2 linked regions of the Lepisosteus oculatus genome follow. The protein of the gene in region 1 purifies or fractionates together with the protein of each later gene. This does not show direct contact. Links are inferred from orthologs where the notes say so. Each region holds a gene or a part of one and is shown in the gene's direction. Other genes may lie near its edges.

What was found. The genes of interacting proteins can lie anywhere in the genome.
Region 2: the proteins of lats2 (region 1) and Wilms tumor protein 1-interacting protein purify together in Homo sapiens (affinity purification with mass spectrometry; 3 studies listed by BioGRID and IntAct, with this or other methods). This does not show direct contact. The link is inferred for Lepisosteus oculatus from reciprocal best matches to the Homo sapiens genes LATS2 and LIMD1.

What each region holds. Positions count from the first base shown.
Region 1 is NC_090710.1:31,920,536-31,929,978, reverse strand, and holds the start of lats2 (serine/threonine-protein kinase LATS2), read left to right. Parts: upstream 1-4,753; 5' UTR 4,754-5,028; intron 5,029-8,165; 5' UTR 8,166-8,394; coding exon 8,395-8,709; intron 8,710-9,443. Other genes in the region: histone deacetylase complex subunit SAP18, read right to left, coding at 772-881, 1,406-1,477. UniProt on the Homo sapiens protein: Negative regulator of YAP1 in the Hippo signaling pathway that plays a pivotal role in organ size control and tumor suppression by restricting proliferation and promoting apoptosis.
Region 2 is NC_090705.1:41,501,250-41,510,885, forward strand, and holds the start of Wilms tumor protein 1-interacting protein, read left to right. Parts: upstream 1-5,279; 5' UTR 5,280-6,152; coding exon 6,153-7,485; intron 7,486-9,636. UniProt on the Homo sapiens protein: Adapter or scaffold protein which participates in the assembly of numerous protein complexes and is involved in several cellular processes such as cell fate determination, cytoskeletal organization, repression of gene transcription, cell-cell adhesion, cell differentiation, proliferation and migration.

The sequences.
Region 1 (9,443 bases):
ATACCTGGATGCGAGACCTCCTGGGAAAGCTCAGGTTGCTGCTGAAGAGGTGTTAGTAGGGGGCGCTCACCCTGCGTTCTGTGTGGGTCTGTGACGGGGACACCAAACTGTAAATGGGCACCGTCTTTCGGATGAGACAATAAACCGAGGTCCTGACTCTCCGTGGTCATTTAAAATCCAAGGGTGTTTCTCAAAAAGAGTAGGGGTGTTACCACAATGTCTTGATCAAATTTCCCCCTGGTCTTTACCAGTCATGGCTTCCCAATAAGCCTCATCACTCTGCTCTCCTCCCTACTGAGAGCTGGTGTGTGGGGAGCAGCCTGGAGCACTCTGGCTGCCACCACATCATCCATGTGGTGGTGGAGGGGATCCCCATTACCTGCAAAGCACTGAGTACAGTGTCCAGAAAAGAGCTATATAGGTGTAAGGATATCATTAATATAACTAATCCCTGAAATCTGAGAAGTACATAGATTTTAGTCCTAAAATATCTCTAAATTAATTTAACGGTGCAGTGGCTCTATGGCTCAGGATCTGTGCCTGTGGCTGGAAGGTTGCTGGTTCAAATCCCGCAGCCGGCAGAGGAATCCTACTCCGTTGGGCCCCCGAGCAAGGCCCTTAACCCCAGCTGCTCCAGGGGTGGTTACAGTGGAATTGGTCCATATCTTCAGAAACTGCTTATTTTATGATGACCTATAAAACAACTTGCTGGGGTGGGGCTCCCCCGGCCCAAGCAGGGAGCCCCGTGGTGTGAAGTGTCATCAGACCTACCAGGTATAGATTTGCAGCTCGCTGGAGGGCACGTTTCCCCTGGCGAACTCGTCCATTCTGTGGTGTCTGCCGTTGTTCGTGGTGAACACCCGCAGCAGCAGCGGGCAAGTCTGCAAACAAAACAACAAAAATAAGTACCTAGCTTTTTTCAGTTGCGGGAAACCGATAGGTGGTCTCAAGCGTGGTATCTGCTCACCATCGTGTTTCACAAAAGATGCATTACAAACTTGCTAGCTACATCTACATTCATCGCGTTGTAAGTAAATAAATGACCTTTAAGTATATTTTGCTCACTAAGGAAAGAAAGTGAGAAAAACATATACTTTATCGCCGTTTTCTCAACTCGTATTGCTTCGCATCGCACACGTTTGGCAGCAATTAGGAAGAGAAAGTAAATCGTTTTAACTGAAAACTCAATAAGTCTCACTGTCTTTGAGGGAGACACTGTACAACTACCCAAAATGCGAAGAAACACGAAATGAAAACACAGTTTTACACAGCACATACCTACTGAAGCGTTTAATGGAGACCAACACAACACCGTTCCACACATTTCCAGAAAACAAAATACAAGGCACCACTCAAACCGTGCGTGCGCATCTTCGATAGACAAAAACGGCTTAACACAACTCACCTTTTCTCTATCGACGGGCTTTTCGGGTTCTTTCTTGATTTCTTCCTGAGTGACTCGAGATTCAACAGCCATTTTCCCAGAAAGCGCCCCCGCGTCTTCACGCCGACCCCGTACAAACACAAGTATAACTTCCGGTTCAACCCACGGGTCGTGATGACGTAACAGGATACGTAGCCCGCGAATGAGCTTAAAGGCTATGGAGCCAATCAAAATGCGACTTCTCCGTATCGTATAATGACTAAAATAGGCGCACACCCTTTTTATTCTGAAGTGCTTAGGTTAAAGGTGATTATTTCTAACAGTAAGAACATGACAGCTGTGCGGACCTTATATAATAATAACAATAATAATAATAATAATAATAATAATAATAATTGCTTACACTTATATAGCGCTTTTCTGGACACTCCACTCAAAGTGCTTTACAGGTAATGGGGATCCCCTCCACCACCACCAGTGTGCAGCCCCACCTGGATGATGCGACAGCAGCCATAGTGCGCCAGAACACTCACCACACACCAGCTATCAGTGGGGAGGAGAGCAGAGTAATGTAGCCAATTCATAGATAGGGATTATTAGGAGGCCATGATTGGTAAGGGCCGATTGGAAATTTTGGCCAGGACACCGGGGTTACACCCCTACTCTTTTCGAGAAATGCCCTGGGATTTTTAATGACCACAGAGAGTCAGGACCTTGACTATACTGGGGCATTAAGACCCACATGGACCACAGGGTGAGCGCCCCCTGTTGGCCCCACTAACACCTCTTCCAGCAGCAACCTTAGTTTTTCCCAAGAGTTTTTCCTTATCTTTACTTATCTTGTTAAATCTTTTTTGTAAAGTGCAGTTGTATTACAGTATGTACCATTGAAGATGTTATTAATATGTCATATTGTTGGTGTTTCCATTATTTTGGTAGTTGCGTGTATTTGACTTTGCTTCTTTAAAGAGAAGGCTAAATAAGATTCCCAGGTCAATTTGCTTTTAATAACCAAACAAGCCTCCTTTTGCCCGTATCCATTCTGTTCTTGTGTTTATTTTACCTGTGTCGAGACTTTCAATGTGTGCTTTCAAGATATTCCAGCCCAGGCCATTCCTTAGGGCTTGTGTGCTACAGTAGGTGTCCGCTTTCCTGCTTCTGTGAAAAATACGTCCATCTCTTCAGTTTTGAACGGAAGGTTTTTACTGGCTGAGATCATCCAAGAGTCACTCATTAAAAAAAAATGATATTAAGCAATCCGTAGATGAAGCAATTCAACACTCTGTGGAACTGATAGAGGTATTTATTATGTTTTATTCAGTACTTCAACATTTTGAATTTTATTAATGCACTGAGACACTCTGGTCTGTAGAGAGATAAGAAAAGAATATCTGCTCTGCTTTTTTTTCCTTTCCATACTGTACCTCTGGTTTACAAAGAGGGAGGAAACATATTTACAGTCAGACCCCCCCCCCCCCCCGACTGTACTGCGGCTCTTTGACTGTAACTCCTGACGGGCTGAGTCTGCGAACCTGTGTCGTGTTTCCCAGTGGGACCTCATAACGGGTCCACGGGTCACAAAGATAATAGCTCACTTTCTAACACAACGCGGTCTTCCAGCTGATCCGCATCACTACCAGGAGATATAATCCGACGTAATTCAGGCGCAAACACGTCTGTCACACTGAATTCCTCAGCTCTCCTTGTAGCTGTACATCTAGCAAGATCTGCTCATGCAACGCGTGACGAACCGGATCGCAGCGCTATTAAAAGGAGCTGAGAGACACTGGGGACTGTGGTACAGAGGGTCAGTGGGAAGAAATTATAAACAACAAAACTGTCACTTGGAAGAAGCTGTCACAAACTAGCCGATTCAGAAGAGGCTGTCCTGGTGACCAGGCTATTCAAATCTAATCTGGATGAGTTAACTCAATGGTGTTTAAAGCGCTCTGTGCGTGAATTAATATGCGTGATAATTATGTGGATGTTTGGACGTGTTTTAAAACAATACAAAACGGTTCGTCCTTAGATTTACTGTCCAGAGCGCAATGACAGCATTGAAACAAGGAAGCCGTTTGTCGGTTTCCCTCGATGTTAGTCGGTTGCTTTGCACTCTAACACGCTTTTCCAGCGGCACATTTTCACTCCTTAGTGCTCTGGGCCGCTTAGATCTGAAACAATAAGCACCCCTCCAGCCTCAGTAACCGGAGCCTAGCGACTGTTTCATCCTGTCCTGCGTTATTGATGCTTCTTCTTACGCGTTATGTTGGCTAAAATGGCAGGAAATTAACGCGGGTCTTGAGGTGATCTTCACCAACCTGCCCCTCGTTCACTTTTGGGGTTGCCGCTCCTAGTGCATGTTTGTTTTTCCTTCATTTATTACGTCTAAGACTGGGTTTTAATTGTACTTTGGCTACTGGGGCCTTGTACGTTTAACCAAATGTACAGTCACCTGTAGCTATGAACTGAACGTTTAGTTATCTGTAGCTGACGCGATTTCTATAGCCAACAACTGATTTTTAAGATCTGCTCAGGCTGAATAACCCCCCGAAGAAGGCTCAACAGCCGAAACGTTGTGTTGTCTTCCTTCTCTTTTCAGCCGGGAATGAACCTAAAACTTGTTCCTTTGCGGCTCAATAACGACTTCAGCCTAAACACTGGGATTTGTGTGTGTGTGTGGGGGGGGGTGACAAAACAGAAAGACACACATTCGGGCGTGTTGCCAGTCGGCTTCCTGGCTTCCCGGGGCGCCCTGCGCGTCTGTGGGGTTTTTGGTTGTTTTGTTTTTTTTTTTCTTCTTGGGTCACGAAGCCGCGCTCGAGCGCTAGAAGCGCCCCCCAGTCCGCGAGCGCGCGGGCCGCTGACGTGATCCGGGGGCGTCACGTGCTCCCCCTGGAATGCGAGCGATGCAGAAAGTGTCCAACTGAGCACAGCGTCCTAATTCAGCCCACTGTAGGGAGAAAATGGAGCCTCATACCGGCGTGAGCCCCGGCCGCAGGCACTGAGCTGAGCTGGGTGGCTGAAGGACAGCCCCGTTCACGATAGCAGCAGCAGCAGCAGATAAGGTAACTTTCCCCTTCTCCTGATGCATTTCTGTTTGTTTGTTTGTTTGTTTGTTTTTAGAGAGTTTACCGTTACTTTTTCTTACAATGCACGCGTTTTGCTGTTGCGAGTGGTTGCTATGCTCCCGCGTCTGGGAAAGGTGCAACTTTTCGATTTTTTTTCGGCGGTTCGATGATTTTTTTTTTAATTTTAAAAATCGTAAATGTATTTCTGTTCTCGACAGCCGATGTGGGGTGCGGGTAGGGGCGTTCGTCTTCAACTGAAGGCGCGCACGCACGCACATGCCAACATATATAGAAGGGGGGGGGTGGCCGATGAAACTTCAAAGTCTCCCTAAGGTGGAATGTCGGGCTCCTTCTCCGGACCTGCGTTCCAGTCACTCCAATCAGGACCAGATCGCAAACTTTCAGCCCCAACTCGAACAGGCTCTGTGAAGTTTTTTTTCTTAACTTTTTTTTTTTTGGAGGGGGGAACGACGTTAACTAGGGATCTGCCATCTAAATAAAAGACACGCGGCTTGCAGAAGGGGCTGGGGAGGCAGCCAGCGCTCCGAAGGACCGAGACGAGCCCGTGAGACGATGGTAAGGTGTCGGAGGGGTTTTCATCGTTTTGTCGAGAAGGAGGTGGGGAGAAGAGAGCACAGCCAGTAATGATTATGTTTTGTCATATGCAAGTCGAAGTTCCGAAAAACGGCAGCAGAGCTGAGTGCCTAAAACGTTTTCAATGTGCCGATTTTTTTTTCTTGGCAGAGAAATTAAACGAGGGGGCAGATCGTGTAATTCCCCGTCTGTCGGTGCCCGTGGACGTGTATATACTCTGTATCGGTTGATGGGTTCAGCGCAGCGTCTGCTTCTGTCTTGTACATTTTTAACATTTTTCGGGTTGCTACAAAGCTGACACTGTTACCACGGTTTAAATGGGCACCGTCGTCTCTTGCATGTGTTTCCCAGCGAGCTGCTGCACATATCGTGCCTGCCGCCCGCTGCCCCTGTCTCTCGATTCTCATGAACTCCGCCGTCTGTATGACAGACTTCAAAACCCGTTTACAGTCTGGTCGGTATCCGAGTGTAAGTCTCTCGAAAAGCAGATGTTACAGGATACAGCTGGGTGTTGTTTTAAGAGGCACAAAGATGAACTTGACCGTCCCACCACTGTGTGTGAACTGTGAACTGGGAGGTTGTGAAACATTGTTGTCGCGTCCATGTCCTTCCCAGCGGCCACGCTGTTTGTGTTGTTGATTGAACTGCAGAGTCGGGTTCAATTCGACTGCGGTGGCCGGACACCTCCGCGTTCGTTATCCTTTCCATTATTGTGCGATATTGCACTTATTGCAAAAAGGTATCGATAGACGTCTATAAAAGCTCAGCGTTTTACTTCAGAAGCATCCCTGTAATTTATCAGATTGATCAGGGTTTTTTTTTAATTTAGTCGCATTAGAGGTAGTGTAAGCTGCAGGCAGCCGCATGGTTTTCAGGAGAGGTGTGTCTTATATTTATTATAAAGACGTGTCAAGATCTCCTGCCCACGTTCCGAACTTTTTAAACAAGTTGCATATTATTTTCTTTCTCCGTTATACAGAACACGCCTTTTTTTTCTGGAAATGATGCTGGAGATGGAAGAAATCCAGAATGTTCCTTACCAATGACATTTTAGGGTGTTTAAAATGTTAGCACGCTGCAGTATGAGGTAGTTTTATCGCGCACCTAATGTAGGAACAACACAGCTGTCCAGGAGGCGCTGCTGCAGAAGCGTGCTGGGAAGCAGCGGGTTAGAAGGGGCTCTCACGGCGTCTCGCAGGGCGGTGCAGGTGGTGCTGCCGAGTCCCCCAGATCCCTCCCCCCCCAGGAGGGGTGATGGGGTGTGGCCACGGCTGCAGACCTGACCGGCGGCGGCCGGGCAGTCGGTCCGTGACGGGCCCTCGGCTTTAGTGTTGCCGGGGCTCTGTGACAACGTGCGCGGCCAGCAGCTCCATCCCCCTGCAGCTCCCAGCTGGCAGCCCCACTGGAGCCCAGCAGTGTGAGCCTGGCCAGTACCTGGATGGGAGACTCCGGGGAAAAACTAAGGCTGCTGCTGGAAGAGGTGTGAGTGGGGCCAGCAGGGGGCGCTCACCCTGCGGTCTGTGTGGGTCCTAATGCCCCAGTATCGTGATGGGGACACTGTACTGTAAAAAGCCACTGTCCTTCGGGTGAGACGTTAAACTGAGGTCCTGACTCTGTGGTCATTAAAAGTCCCAGAGTGTTTCTCACAAAGAGTAGGGATGTCTCCCCCCGGTGTCCAGGCCAAATTTCCCCCGGCCTTTACCAATCATGGCCTCCTAATAATCCCCCTCTCTGAACTGGCTTCATCACTCTGCTCTCCTCCCCACTGAGAGCTGGTGTGTGGGGAGCGTACTGGTGCATCATCCAGGAGGGGCTGCACACTGGTGGGGGTGGAGGGGATCCCCATGACCTGTAAAGCGCTTTGAGTGGAGAGTCCAGAAAAGCGCTGTAGAAGTGTGAGGAGCTATGAATTATTATTGTCCATCGGAGTGGTGTCCCCTCAGTCCCTCTGGGGACATGGGCAGTGGCAGTGGAGCTCCCCTGCAGAGCCTGGGGGAGCCTGTGCCTTCGGGTCACCCTCCCACAGGGTCCGCAGGACTCGGCTGGTATGTGGGGGGGCAGGTCCGTCCCCGGGGCCCAGCGCCCGGTCCTGCCGGGTCAGGCTCCGGGTCGGTGCGGACCTCTGACAACGGGTGGACCGCCCAGGCTGTTATCTGCTCTGGGGTCTTTGAAATAACGTAGCCATCACCTGGGTGTGACCCCGTGCTCCCGCCTTCGTCCACGTGAGATTTCATTAGCGATCAAGATGAAGCAGTTGGAGATTTTTACCTCTAACGAGCGTGAGGGGAGGGGAGTTGATTTTCACAAAATCGGATGCGTCTCGCCTCTCGGTTAGCTCCGCTGACGAACAGACTTCGCGTGACAAGCGAAGGGTCCACCCCCGGCGCCCGTCAGCAGGATACAGTATGTCTGGGTTCCACGTTCGGGTCTTGAGTGGAGTTGTTTGTTGTTAACTGCTGTCATTGGGAGCCTGTTTTTTTTGCACAGCTGTTGGCTACCCAGGCCCCTGGCTTTCTCGATGCTGCCTGTATTAATCAGGTGGACCTTCAGCCTCCTCAGAGTCTTAACAGAACCAGAGTGTGTGCAGTTTCAGCAGACGTATAACATTTACACGTAGGCGTTGCGCGTAAAGGACTATACGAACAAATCGGACAGTATTACACAGAAGAAGAAGAAGAAATCTGTGTCCGTTTCAGATGACTGCGTGTCCTGCCACCGCTAAGATTTAGCCCGTTAAGGTAGAGGAAGACATGTTGACAAAACTGGTGTTTATTACCTGTGGGGGGGGAAATGTGCATTTTTGGGGGATCTTGTGTGTTCAGATCATGGGAATAGACATTTCGCTAAAGCTGCAGAGATGCCCATTGTCTCCCGCTGTGTGTTGGGGGGGCGCAGACAGGAAAAGGGAAGGGGGTCAGAGTTGTTGGTGTGGCTGTCAAATGGCGCACGGCACCCCGCTGATCCCACTTCCTCTATCCAGTTCGGGGTGGCGGGGGAGCTGGAGCCTATCCCAGCAGGCAGCGGTGCACCCCGGACGGGATGCCAGTCCAGCCCTGGCCCTGCTTCGGCCCGGTCGCGCGCGGCTCTGCTGACGCTTCTCCCCCCGTCTGTCTTCCCAGAGGCCCCGTGGGGATGGAGCGGTCAGCGGGCACGGCGCCTTCTCTCTCAGGCTGCAGGACGGCGGGGAGCCCGGTCCTCTGAGGCCCCACTAAAGCCTGCGTCCGGACAGCGCGGCGGGGCGGGCTCTGGGCGGCCCGTCCGTTGATGTTGTGGGGCGGGGAGGAGGACTGAGAGCAGCGTCCGGCGCGGGCCAAGCGGAGAGGAGCCGGGGGGAGGGCGGGAGCGGCCATGAGGCCGAAGACGTTCCCCGCCACCCCGTACGCGGGCAACACGCGGCAGCGCCTGCAGGAGATCAAGGAGGGCCTGAAGCAGCCGGCCAAGCTGGTGAGCCAGGCGCTGCAGGGGGGCCGCGGCGCCGAGGGCGGCCGGCCGCCGCCGCAGCAGCACCACCCCCGCGCGCCCCAGAAGTTCGGCAACTACCAGACCGCCCTGCGCGAGATCCGGCGGTCGCTACTGCCCTTCGCCAACGACTCGGGCTCCTCGCCAGGCCCGGAGGTCAACCGGCAGATGCTGCAGGAGCTCGTCAACGCCGGGTGCGACCAGGTACCACAGCGGGGGGCTTCTCTCCTGACTCTGGGGGGCTCCTCTTCCTCGCCTGCCGCTCCGCGCGGCGCGGGCGCCTGACTCGCGGGGCGCCGGCGGTGGGAGGCGGGCGGAGACGCTCGGTGGGGTCCGCAGGGTTTGCAGGAGGCAGGGGCGCGAGGCGTGCGAGAGCCCCGTGTGTTTCCTGAAGCAGCTCCAGGGGCGGCCGGGGTCTTGTCATGTGAGGGTGGCCAGGGGTCTCGCTCAGGACGGGTGTGAGGGGAGGTCTCGGCTGCCCAGTTTGACTGTTATTAATTGCTTCAGAAAGTACGAAGACACCCTTTGAGCTCGAGGCTGCATACGGCGTGGCAAACAAAAATCGACTCTGTTTTCAAAGTAGCTGTGAGGTTTTGAATCATCTGTACATCAGCGTTGACCAGCCCTAGTCCTGCAGGCGTCCGGGTTACTTTGATTCAGCCCGGGACGGACAGGGGTGGCCCTGGAGAGAGCTGGGCTCTGTTCTCCATGCTCTGTGTGTATGTGGCAGCGACACGCCTCCTTTGAAAAGTCACTGGGCAGCCGTGGCATCTCCGCTAGATCCCAGTTTAGTCAAATGTTGAGCCCTCTAAATACAGGCTGTTTTTTTGTCATCATGAAATGAAGCGCAGCTATTCCAAAATATCGTGGCTGTGATTACTCCGCTGCACCAGTGCCACCGGCGCCGCCTCGGGGGAGGGAATGGGAGAGCTTCGGGA
Region 2 (9,636 bases), on another chromosome or scaffold:
ATTTCAAGGAGAAATTTAAAGAGATTTTAGGCTCTGCTTTTTCAGTTGAAGCAAACCCACAAAAAAAAAACCTTCAAAACTTTCCTTCTGTTCCAGTCTTGATCCAAGTTTGCCGAAAAAGCAATTTCGCACTTGGGGAAGGTTTTGGCTCCTGGCTGCTTTTAAGAACTGAGTCATTCTACCACAGCTGTGTACTGTACTCGTGTGACTTTATGGAACCGACAGTCAAATGGAAGCAGATCTGGGAACATTTTAAATCTAAGCAATGCTGATGAGTCATTGAATTTGGAGGTTTTTCTACCTTGTACTCCCATCAGATCTCAGAATTTTAAGTTACTAAAACATTAAAGTTAACTTTCCTAAGTGCATGAACCTCCTGTGTCCTCATCCTCTGCTTTTTTAATACCGCACGTGAAATAGAGATTTTTGTAAAAAGGTACACTGAAGACTGAAAGAAACCTCAATAGCACATGCAGTGGTTCCTGCCAGGTTTTTATATAGGCGATTCTAAATGAAGGATTCAGCAGTGACTAAACTGGCTGTCTGCTTCCGTTCTGCCCATTTCTGTATTTTGGTCATCACTCGATTTATAACAAGATCAAGCCGGTGATTGTTGTATGAATCTCAGTACCTCATCCAGTCAGTAGATTGCGGAGAATTAGAAGAACTTTGACACACTCCTTTTCTTTAACTTACGATTCTTCATTTAAAAGCCAGGGCATATGTGAGCTCTCTTTAACCTGCACTCTGTATTAAAATTTCTCATTTTGGTTTTTGTGCAGTTTAAAATGGCCTGCTGTTCTGAGAACATTTGACTGTATAGCTTCCCTTTTTTTTTCCTGTATTTAAATTGCCGTGAGCATAATACTGAAATGTGGGCAGATTGCAATTATAATGCAAGGATATAAACAGCAGAGTGCATTTCAGAAAATGCATGCATGCCATTCTATATAGCTTTAAACCTAACTCCATGGCTTGCTGTAAATAATCATCTGATTATACCTATTAAGGCTGGAGCAGAATGCACCTCCGGGGCAAGTCTGATTCATATAGAGACTGAAGAATGTCAATAACAAGGTACAGGGCATCATATTTGCAATGAGGCATCCCTAAGCTGGGTAGAATAATCTGTCCTCGCTGTTAAATTACTAATTGTATTTTGCGTTTATTTAGAGTCAGCTGACTGTTCAGCCTTGAAATTCTGTCATTACTTCAGCGTGCTATTGATTTGCAACAGCTTGCCTGAAACGCCTTGGGTGTGTGTTCTTTTTAATCAGAACCACTCAGCTTACAGTCGCCAACTCCAGGCTTTCTAAGCAGTGTGTAGTAATTTGGTTGATGCTAAGTTACGGGGTTTCTTTGATAAACAGTAATTTAGATTTTTACTTTGTGCTGCGGGTGTTGAGTGCACGGTTATGCAAAATAAAGGAAAACTTAATAATTAACACAGATCCCCTCAAATACAGTGTTTATCTTTATTTCTCAACAGAAATTGCCCTTCTTCTTTCTCCCAGCTCATTGTGTGCAGGAGATTCATAGTGCACCAGAGCTCTTCATCAGAAAACTCAGGCCAGGCAAGGAATCCAGTTCACTTGTGCTGAAATATGTATATTTTTAAATTACCACCTACTGGTCCACCAGTACTGGTGGTCCAAGAGACCTACTGGTCTCTTGAAACAGTAACAGGGTGGTCTCCCATCCCAGTACTGACCAGGACCCGCTCTGTAAAGATCAGGCCAGTGATATGCATTTGCTTCAGAATGTGCATGAGAAAAGGAAGGGTAGACAAGACTAAAAAAAGTGGGCACGATATCATGATGGTTTGCTCTGTCATATGTTTGCCTGTGCTACACACCCACCCTTATTTTCTAAAAGAAACGTCCAAAATGCATTACTTTCAGAAATACAAACTTAAGCAGCTTTAGCCAACTTCTGAGTATGTGACTGCTGCCCTCTGCCAGAATAAACTGCCCCTTTGAGTCAAATTGGATTTGACACTGGGGCTTTACACTGAAGGTTTAATTATCACTTTAAGAGCTATCTCCAAGACAACAAGAACGACGCTCGTTTTCCAAGTTTACGTTTTGTGATGCACTGGGTCTGATGAAAATTGCCGCGTTCAAGTTGTAATTTGGTGGAAAAGCAAAGCAATTTTAACAGAGAGAAGTCTTTCATGAGCTGGGTGGGGTACTCTAGTTAGAAGATTTTGGTATATTGCCCCCGTTTCACAATTTGACTATTATATAGCAGAGACTGGATATTAAGTAACTTGTCATCCCTGGCTATTTGTGATGGTAAGATTGCACAATAAAGCTTCATTGTTTTACAATCAGCATTCTGGGGAAACTGTTACACACATGCAGTGTTTATTATTAGACACTGCAGCCACTCATTCTTTCCTGTTATGCTTTCGCACTCAGAAACACTGCCTCTGTTGCTTGCTCTCTGCTCCGCATCGCACTCCTGTTTATACTACACGTAGGCAGTGTGATACATGATTTTAAAAAACACTGGTACCCTCGTTCTACCATTTCCTAGTGATCACGTGGAAAGAAACAGCTTTTTTCGGTTTTCTCCAGCAACAGGTTCAGTCAAAGAATGATCAATACAAGATCTCTAGAAAGTATTGAAAGCATGAGACCAGTTCTTCCAGTAGGGAGTGTTCTCAAATCACCCTAAATAAGTACTGCGCCCTACAGTGAAGCACCAACTACATGAGGTATGTGGCAGATGCACGTCAACGTGCAAGAATAATTTCGAAGCTGCAGTATTTTACCTGAACGAGCTGTGTGTGAAGTGAGAGGTCTTGTCGTTCCTCCATCTCTTGATTTTACTCTGCCTCTTATTACGCTTTACGTTTCTGTTCATTTCGTGTTCAAACAGCGGAAATAAAGGAAACGCTACTGCAAAGCGTCCAGACACATGTAAACCACGTTGTTGACATACCGTTGTTTGACTTAGGTTTTCACGTTCTAGTGAGAATAAGAGGCAGTGATACCTGTTCAGGTACTCAAGTCCTTGACAAAAACAAATTGCATGGACTCACGAGGGACTGCCCTTTTGTCTGGAGTAAGAGGGGGCCACATGTCTGCATGGAAACAGCAGTGATATTTATTTTACCAGTGGGCGTATCAAAGCATATTTATGTTCCACAGAAGTTAGGAAGGCGTGACATCATGTTAGCACAGTAACACAGGCGTCCTGTTGTAGTCAGAACCTGGTGTTTTTATTTCAATCAAGGTGTGACGCGATAGTGCATCCTCCTTCCTTAAACGTAATGACCGAATTCTGCTATTTTCAGTAGGTTAATAACCTTGATGTATAAACTTACAATTAGCCAACTTAAGCAAGACTTTAACCCCAGGTTCCGTCTACGCTTTGGAACCTGAAGTTCTTGTGACTTTATTTCTGGAGAGTAAGTTCTGGCATCAAAATCAAACCCAGCGTACCCCGAAAGTCACCCGAATACTTCAAGTCATTAATAGTTACTCACGCTTCGTTCCCCAAGTTGCCGCCCCAAAACTACAACAAGCTGTCAATCCAAATTGGTTGAATCAGATCAGTAATGTGGAGGAATCGTTTACATCACGACAGGTACTATTGTGTTTTTCCTCAAACATCTATAAAACAAAGTTGTTATAAAGACTGCGCCGCTGCTGAACTATCTTCTAAAAGCTGAAAAAAGTTTAGGGAATAACTCCAGTTTCGGTGCAATGTTTCTGAAACAGATGCTAATATACCCAAATTCTAATAATCATGCAAAATTAGTCTCAAACCACTGTAGTGGATGTGAAGTCTGTGTTTTTGTGGGTATGGTTTTGATAACCTATTAGAAGAACGATTCAATGTACCACTATGAAACATTTCCCTCAACCCTACGATGGAGCTAGTTTTCCTACGCATTTTTGTACTGGCACTTCCTGCTCCTATAAATGTTTTCTGTTTTTAGCATTCATGTTTTAATCACAATAATTCACTTTATAAATGTTGATACATTTGTATTTCAGCCAAATGGGACATGATCAGAAGGGAAGAATTCTCTCGACAGATACTGGAGGTTAAATCGGCGAATGTGTGCTAAGAAAACGGTGTTTTTTTTGTACAAATAAGTAAGAGTTTGAATCGGCAAAAGAGCGTAAGGGTGTCAGCAACTTTACTTTATCAGGAGGATGCATCTCAGATCTGCTTAAAAGATGTCAGATTTCCCGGAACAGGAATGTGAATCTCATAAGCAATATGACCAAAGCCGTTTTCAATATCATTTTTCTATAACAAAGCAACAAAGGCGTGCACAAATTTAACCGGTACTCAATGTATCAGTGCCTCTCAATAATCCATCATTTTCTATAAACACACTGTAACCTTCCCTGAGTATTTTGAACTATATTCCGTACAGTGTGATTCGGTGTTCTGAAAAGGCAAGGCTTTTGTAAGACATTTATCCGAGAGACAATGTTTATAGCTAAGAATTCAGTGACGACAGTTTTTTTGTACTTTACACTAAAAAGAGTTTAGTTTCTGCTCAACATTAATAGTAGAATAAAAAAATAAAAGGGGACTCTCTTAGTAGAGCTTCAAGATAAGGCATGTGACTGAATTAAATTATACTATATTCAAGATACAGTTGGATTATATAGTAGAGTCACCATAAATAAAGCCGTTAATGAGTTTGACTTTGCTGGACTTTTTACATTTTGCACATAATGCCAAGCTATGAGGAATGGCAAACACTACAAAAGCCAAGGTTACGGAAATGTTTATAATTCCTGTTCATTACAATCCGAGTCCGATGGAGCAGAATAAAACAAACACAGGCACAGGATATGATGACTGATAAGAGGCAGCGCTTGGTGTCAATATTTGAAGTGTTATCATGTAGTATTGTGGAGCCCTTAAAGCAATATCCCGCACAGAGTAATGGAATTAAATTACATTTGCCTTAAGCAGGGCATATTATCAGAGGAGGAAAGTCTAGTCTAGTAAACCCAATAATCTTCAGGGTGTATTTTTAATGGAATCCCTCAGGATGAAATTCACTCTATAGATGAATTGTATTATTTTAGCAATAAAGGTTGAGAACACGAGGTTATTTTTTTTATATCCAGATGGTTGTAGGAGCTTGGTACAAGTTTACCCTGGCGCCGATATTTAAGTACTTCAAGTCCCCAGAAGCTTACACGCCGAACAATAATATCGATTGCCATTATCTTGTAATTATCCATGATGTTACTTGTTCGACATGGCGGCAGGTTTGTGGGCCCGAGCTGACTGCACACCGCACAACACGAGTTTCATTCAGGACTGGCCTCGCACGCTGCAGTTCTCCGGCTCCCGGGCCAAAGTTAAATGCCGCCTGTACCTTTAAATGCTACCTCAGAGCCTGCAGTGTGTGTGCTCGCCGTCCAATGGTCTACATTCTCCTTTTTGTCCCTCCTGTGTCTGCCCGAAATATTTTCCGCTAGCGCGTCTCGCAGCCGCTTGGCTGGAGTTCACTGTGCGCCGGAGCTGCGCCGCAGAAGGGGACTCCTTCGCCGCCTGCCTGCCTGCAAACTTCGGAGAAACTTTTCGGAGGCTGCCGCTTCCGCGTTGAGCGCCATAGCAGGAGGTTTGGTAAACTGGGGGAACAGGGTCCAGCCTAGATCACCAGCCCTCTGGAGCCCGACAGCATCCTGCCGAGAGCGGAGCTGGCCGGGCAAGGCGAGCGGAATAGCGCACCACCACCTCCAGCACTTGGGTTGTGCGGTGCTGCAAATCACAGGAGACGTTTGTGTAAAACGTTGCATGAGTCCAAGTCCACGTCTGTGCCTTTTGTTTCTGCACTCTCCCCCCCACTACCACGCGGATAATCTGGAAGTGTGACATTTTGCCGACTCTTTGACATTATGTGGAGGATTTGAGAACACGCCGGGACAGGATCAAGGTGGCGCAAGAAAAGGTATCGGGCATTTCTGAATTCTTCTCTTTCACCGGGTTCACTCTGAATCTCTGATGTCGCGTTTCTGATACAGCGATTAACTGTGCTATGAAGTGGCGTGCTCAGTCATGAGCCAAGTTAGCTGCGCTTGGAGACGGCTTTTGTACACCCTCGCCTTTTAGCAGCCGATTAATACAACCTGACGTTTGATTACGAGACAGCCGCGTCTATTCCAAAAATGGATAAATACGATGATCTGGGGCTGGAGGCGAGTAAATTTATCGAGGACCTCAACATGTACGAAGCGTCGAAAGACGGGCTGTTCAGGACGAAAAGGGACTCGGGCAACAACCCGGACTTCGAAGAGACGAGGAAAGTTTTCGCCTCCAAAATGACCAAAATCCACATGCAGAAACAGCAAGAGGAGATGGCGAGTAAGCTAGCCGGGGCCAACGGAGGCGCCGGCGATGTGCCGAGCAGGGCTTCCGACAACGCGTTTTACACCCGAGACAGGCCGCCCATCAGTAACTTCAGGCAGACCGGAGAAGCGGCGGGCAAACCTCCTATATTATCGGGGCCCATGCCGGGCTCTGGTCTGTCCCCCGAGGGGCAGAAGCAGCCGCGAAGCCCCCACCACGACGCGCCCGAAGGCAGGACACCGGGCTACAGCAGCACTTGCTACAGAGAGAGCCTGGGGCAGCCCGCTCCCCCCGCGTCCTGTCCAGTGAGCCCCGGCGCCTCCTTCAGCCCAGTCCCTCAGCCTGCCCAGGGCGGTCACCCTGCCAGCCCCCCAGCAGCTTGGGGGACCCCTCAGGATACGCCCCAGGGAGCCCTTCGTGGCCCCGGGGCAGGTTGTGTTCCTGGCAGCCAGCAGCAGCCCCAGCGGCCGGCTGCCCCCTGCGACCCGAGGCCCGCCGGGCAGAGGTCGGGCTCGTTCTCCAGCGCCCTGTCTCCCACGCTGCCGTCTCCGGGGTCGGCCTTCAGCCGGGCCCGGGCGGGGCCGCCCCCCCAGAGGTCGTCGTCCTTCTCCTCCCCGTCACCCCGGCCCCCATCCCCGGAGTGGGTGAGGCCCCTCGTGGGGCCCACAGGGTTCCCGGCCCCCGCCCCGCCGGGCCCCTTCCGAGCCCACCCCGACCCCGGCGCCCCGGGCCCTGCCTCCAGGCCCTGTCCCGGGGACCTGCAGCAGAACGGGCTTCACCGGACCCCAGCCGCCCCGTGCCAGGCGGGCCCCGCGGGCCAGGCCTGCCCGCTGCCCCCCCGGATGGCCCCCGTGCCTCCCGAAGAGCCCCTCCCTCAGACGCCGGCCTCCGCCGGGGCCCCCGGCTCGGGCTCGGCCCAGGAGCCGGCCCCCACCCGCCGGCTGGCCACCGCTGTGCCCGTCCCCCCGGCCCCCGACGGACCGCTGGCCTCCCCCGAGCACAACCCGGGCCCCCCCAGGGCGGTCCGGCTGCCCTGCCAGACCCTCCGCGCGCCGCCGGAGCGGGGCCCCTCCACAGCCGAAATCAAACTGGAAGCCCTGGCGACGCGTCTGGAGGAGGAGATGGAGGCCCAGCCGAAGGCTGATTATTTTGGTAAGAAGATCTCGGCTTCGCTCTGCTTGCGTGCGTAAACGGTGCTGATTTCTTTTCCCCCTCCTTTTGGACGGAGCTCGAGGGTTTGCAGTGTTTTCCTCGGGCCGAGGGACTTGCCTGCTCCTGGGAGTCTGTACTGCTGTGCCGCTTGCGAGACGAGCACAAGCCTGGCCTGGGAATGGCTATTTCTCTCAGACTCGTTCATTTTAATTGCTACCTGGCACACACTTTCTGATAGTAGAACGTAAAGTTATTTTGGAGATAAAGACCACTGGAAATGGCTTGCTGTGAGTTGATAAACCTCAGCACTACAGGTGCAACGTCAGAGAAAAGCTGTGATGCACTAAGGTCCAGTGTGTTGTCCAAACGTTGGGCCCTGCCTAATGTGACGCTTTTCTAATTATCCTGAAGATAATTGGTTGCTTTACAGCACAAATTAACCGTTTACCTCACTTGGCAACATTTATTCGCCTTCTATTGTGTGATACCTATTCAGAATGGAAACTTTGAACGTTTGTCAGGATTAGCTAAATGTTTAAAAATATAGGCTGTGTATTGTGTTTGTGTAACTGTTGGTTGCCGTGTGGGCTTGTTCCCATAGAGTTTTCAATTTGCACTTTAAGTTTGCCATTGTGAGTGCCACAGTTAGTTCACTGGCACAGTCCTCTTTAAACAGTTGGGCACCCATGCTGCCAGATTGTCAGTCAGTAATGTCTTTGTTACTTAAAAGTAACACAAACTGGACTTTTAAGTTCCATGAAAACAACATTGTTGCACATAGGCTGGGACTTTGTATCCTTCTGCCAAGGTATACTTTGTGTGAGAGAATTTCCTTGCATTGTGAATGAATTGGTATGGGTGACATTATTGTGATTCTAGTATTTAGATCATCTTAGGACAAATTGTGATGGCATATAAGGGACTGAACCGTTCAATACCCCTTTGGTAAGCTCACAAGGAATCTTTGCAGTTTGTCTGTTAAAAACTGTCAAGCATATCTGAGGGATATTTTCAGGAAATATTGTGTTCCTGAGTGTGATCCCGAGTCATGTCACCGAGCGACTCTCACTGATCAGTCAGCTAGGAGTTTCTCTGTGCTCCTGATGGCATCCTGAGCCCTAGGGCTTCAGGGGCTCTTACAACAGGTGTGTCCGTGTCAGTGGTGAAGGACACACCTCTCCCTGACTCGCTGCAATGCGCTGCAGAGATTGTACCACATCAAGAACATGAAGGGGTCAGGAGTCCCTGTCGAGAGGAATTTGTCAGCACTTCCTCTGCATTCTCTGGTTGTGTCTACAGGAGTTGTTGTGAACTGGGGCACAAAGACGCAATTGTGATAAATGCATACAACTACACAAAATACAGCAACAGGAAAAATGGTACAGCGCAGGGCTGTAGTTTGTTTCTAGTTCTCTGAAAGCAGTCATTTGTTTGGTTCACTGGAGAAGACTATCTCATAGCCACTCCTCTGATTTGGAGTCAGGTCTGGTGCAGTCATCCGAAAAACAAGCTCGTGATCGGGGTCAGGTCCCCAGTCCTGTCGGAGAGATGCCTGCTCTTTCTCGGCAGACGAGCTGTGAAGAGCTTTCTGGTGAAATTGAATCAGGGTAATTGTGACCTGTAACATTAGACTGTTCGTATTTTACTGTAACTGTGAAGTACTGACGTTTGAGAAAAATCTGCTGCAAGTGAGTAGCGAAATATTTTTGCTGACTCTGACATCTTTAATTGTACATCTTTGAGTGTAGATCGTTTTGGATTTTTTCATGCTTTTAACAAAATTTGGGGAACCTGAGTTTTCCTAGTTTTGTGCTCCGATCTTGCTGTTCTTCAGCAGCTCAGATCTATTCCCCAGAGACTTCAACCTTGTGGCCTTATAAGTATTTTGATACCTGGTCGACCCAAAGCTTTGGCTGTGACAATGAAGAGCAGCTGAAATACTAATTAGCTGAAAAATTATATACCAGCTCTCTGCTGCTTTCATGTTTGAAATTGTGGTACTGAAGTTAAAATAAGTGCCACAGAGAAAACGCAAAAACAGTTAAGTTGAGGAGGAAATATTGTTACTTTTGTCACAATACAAATGTTAAGAATGAGAAATAGCATCTGTACCTTTGAGCATGAGCTGTTTTCCATTTTGTTTTAATGAGA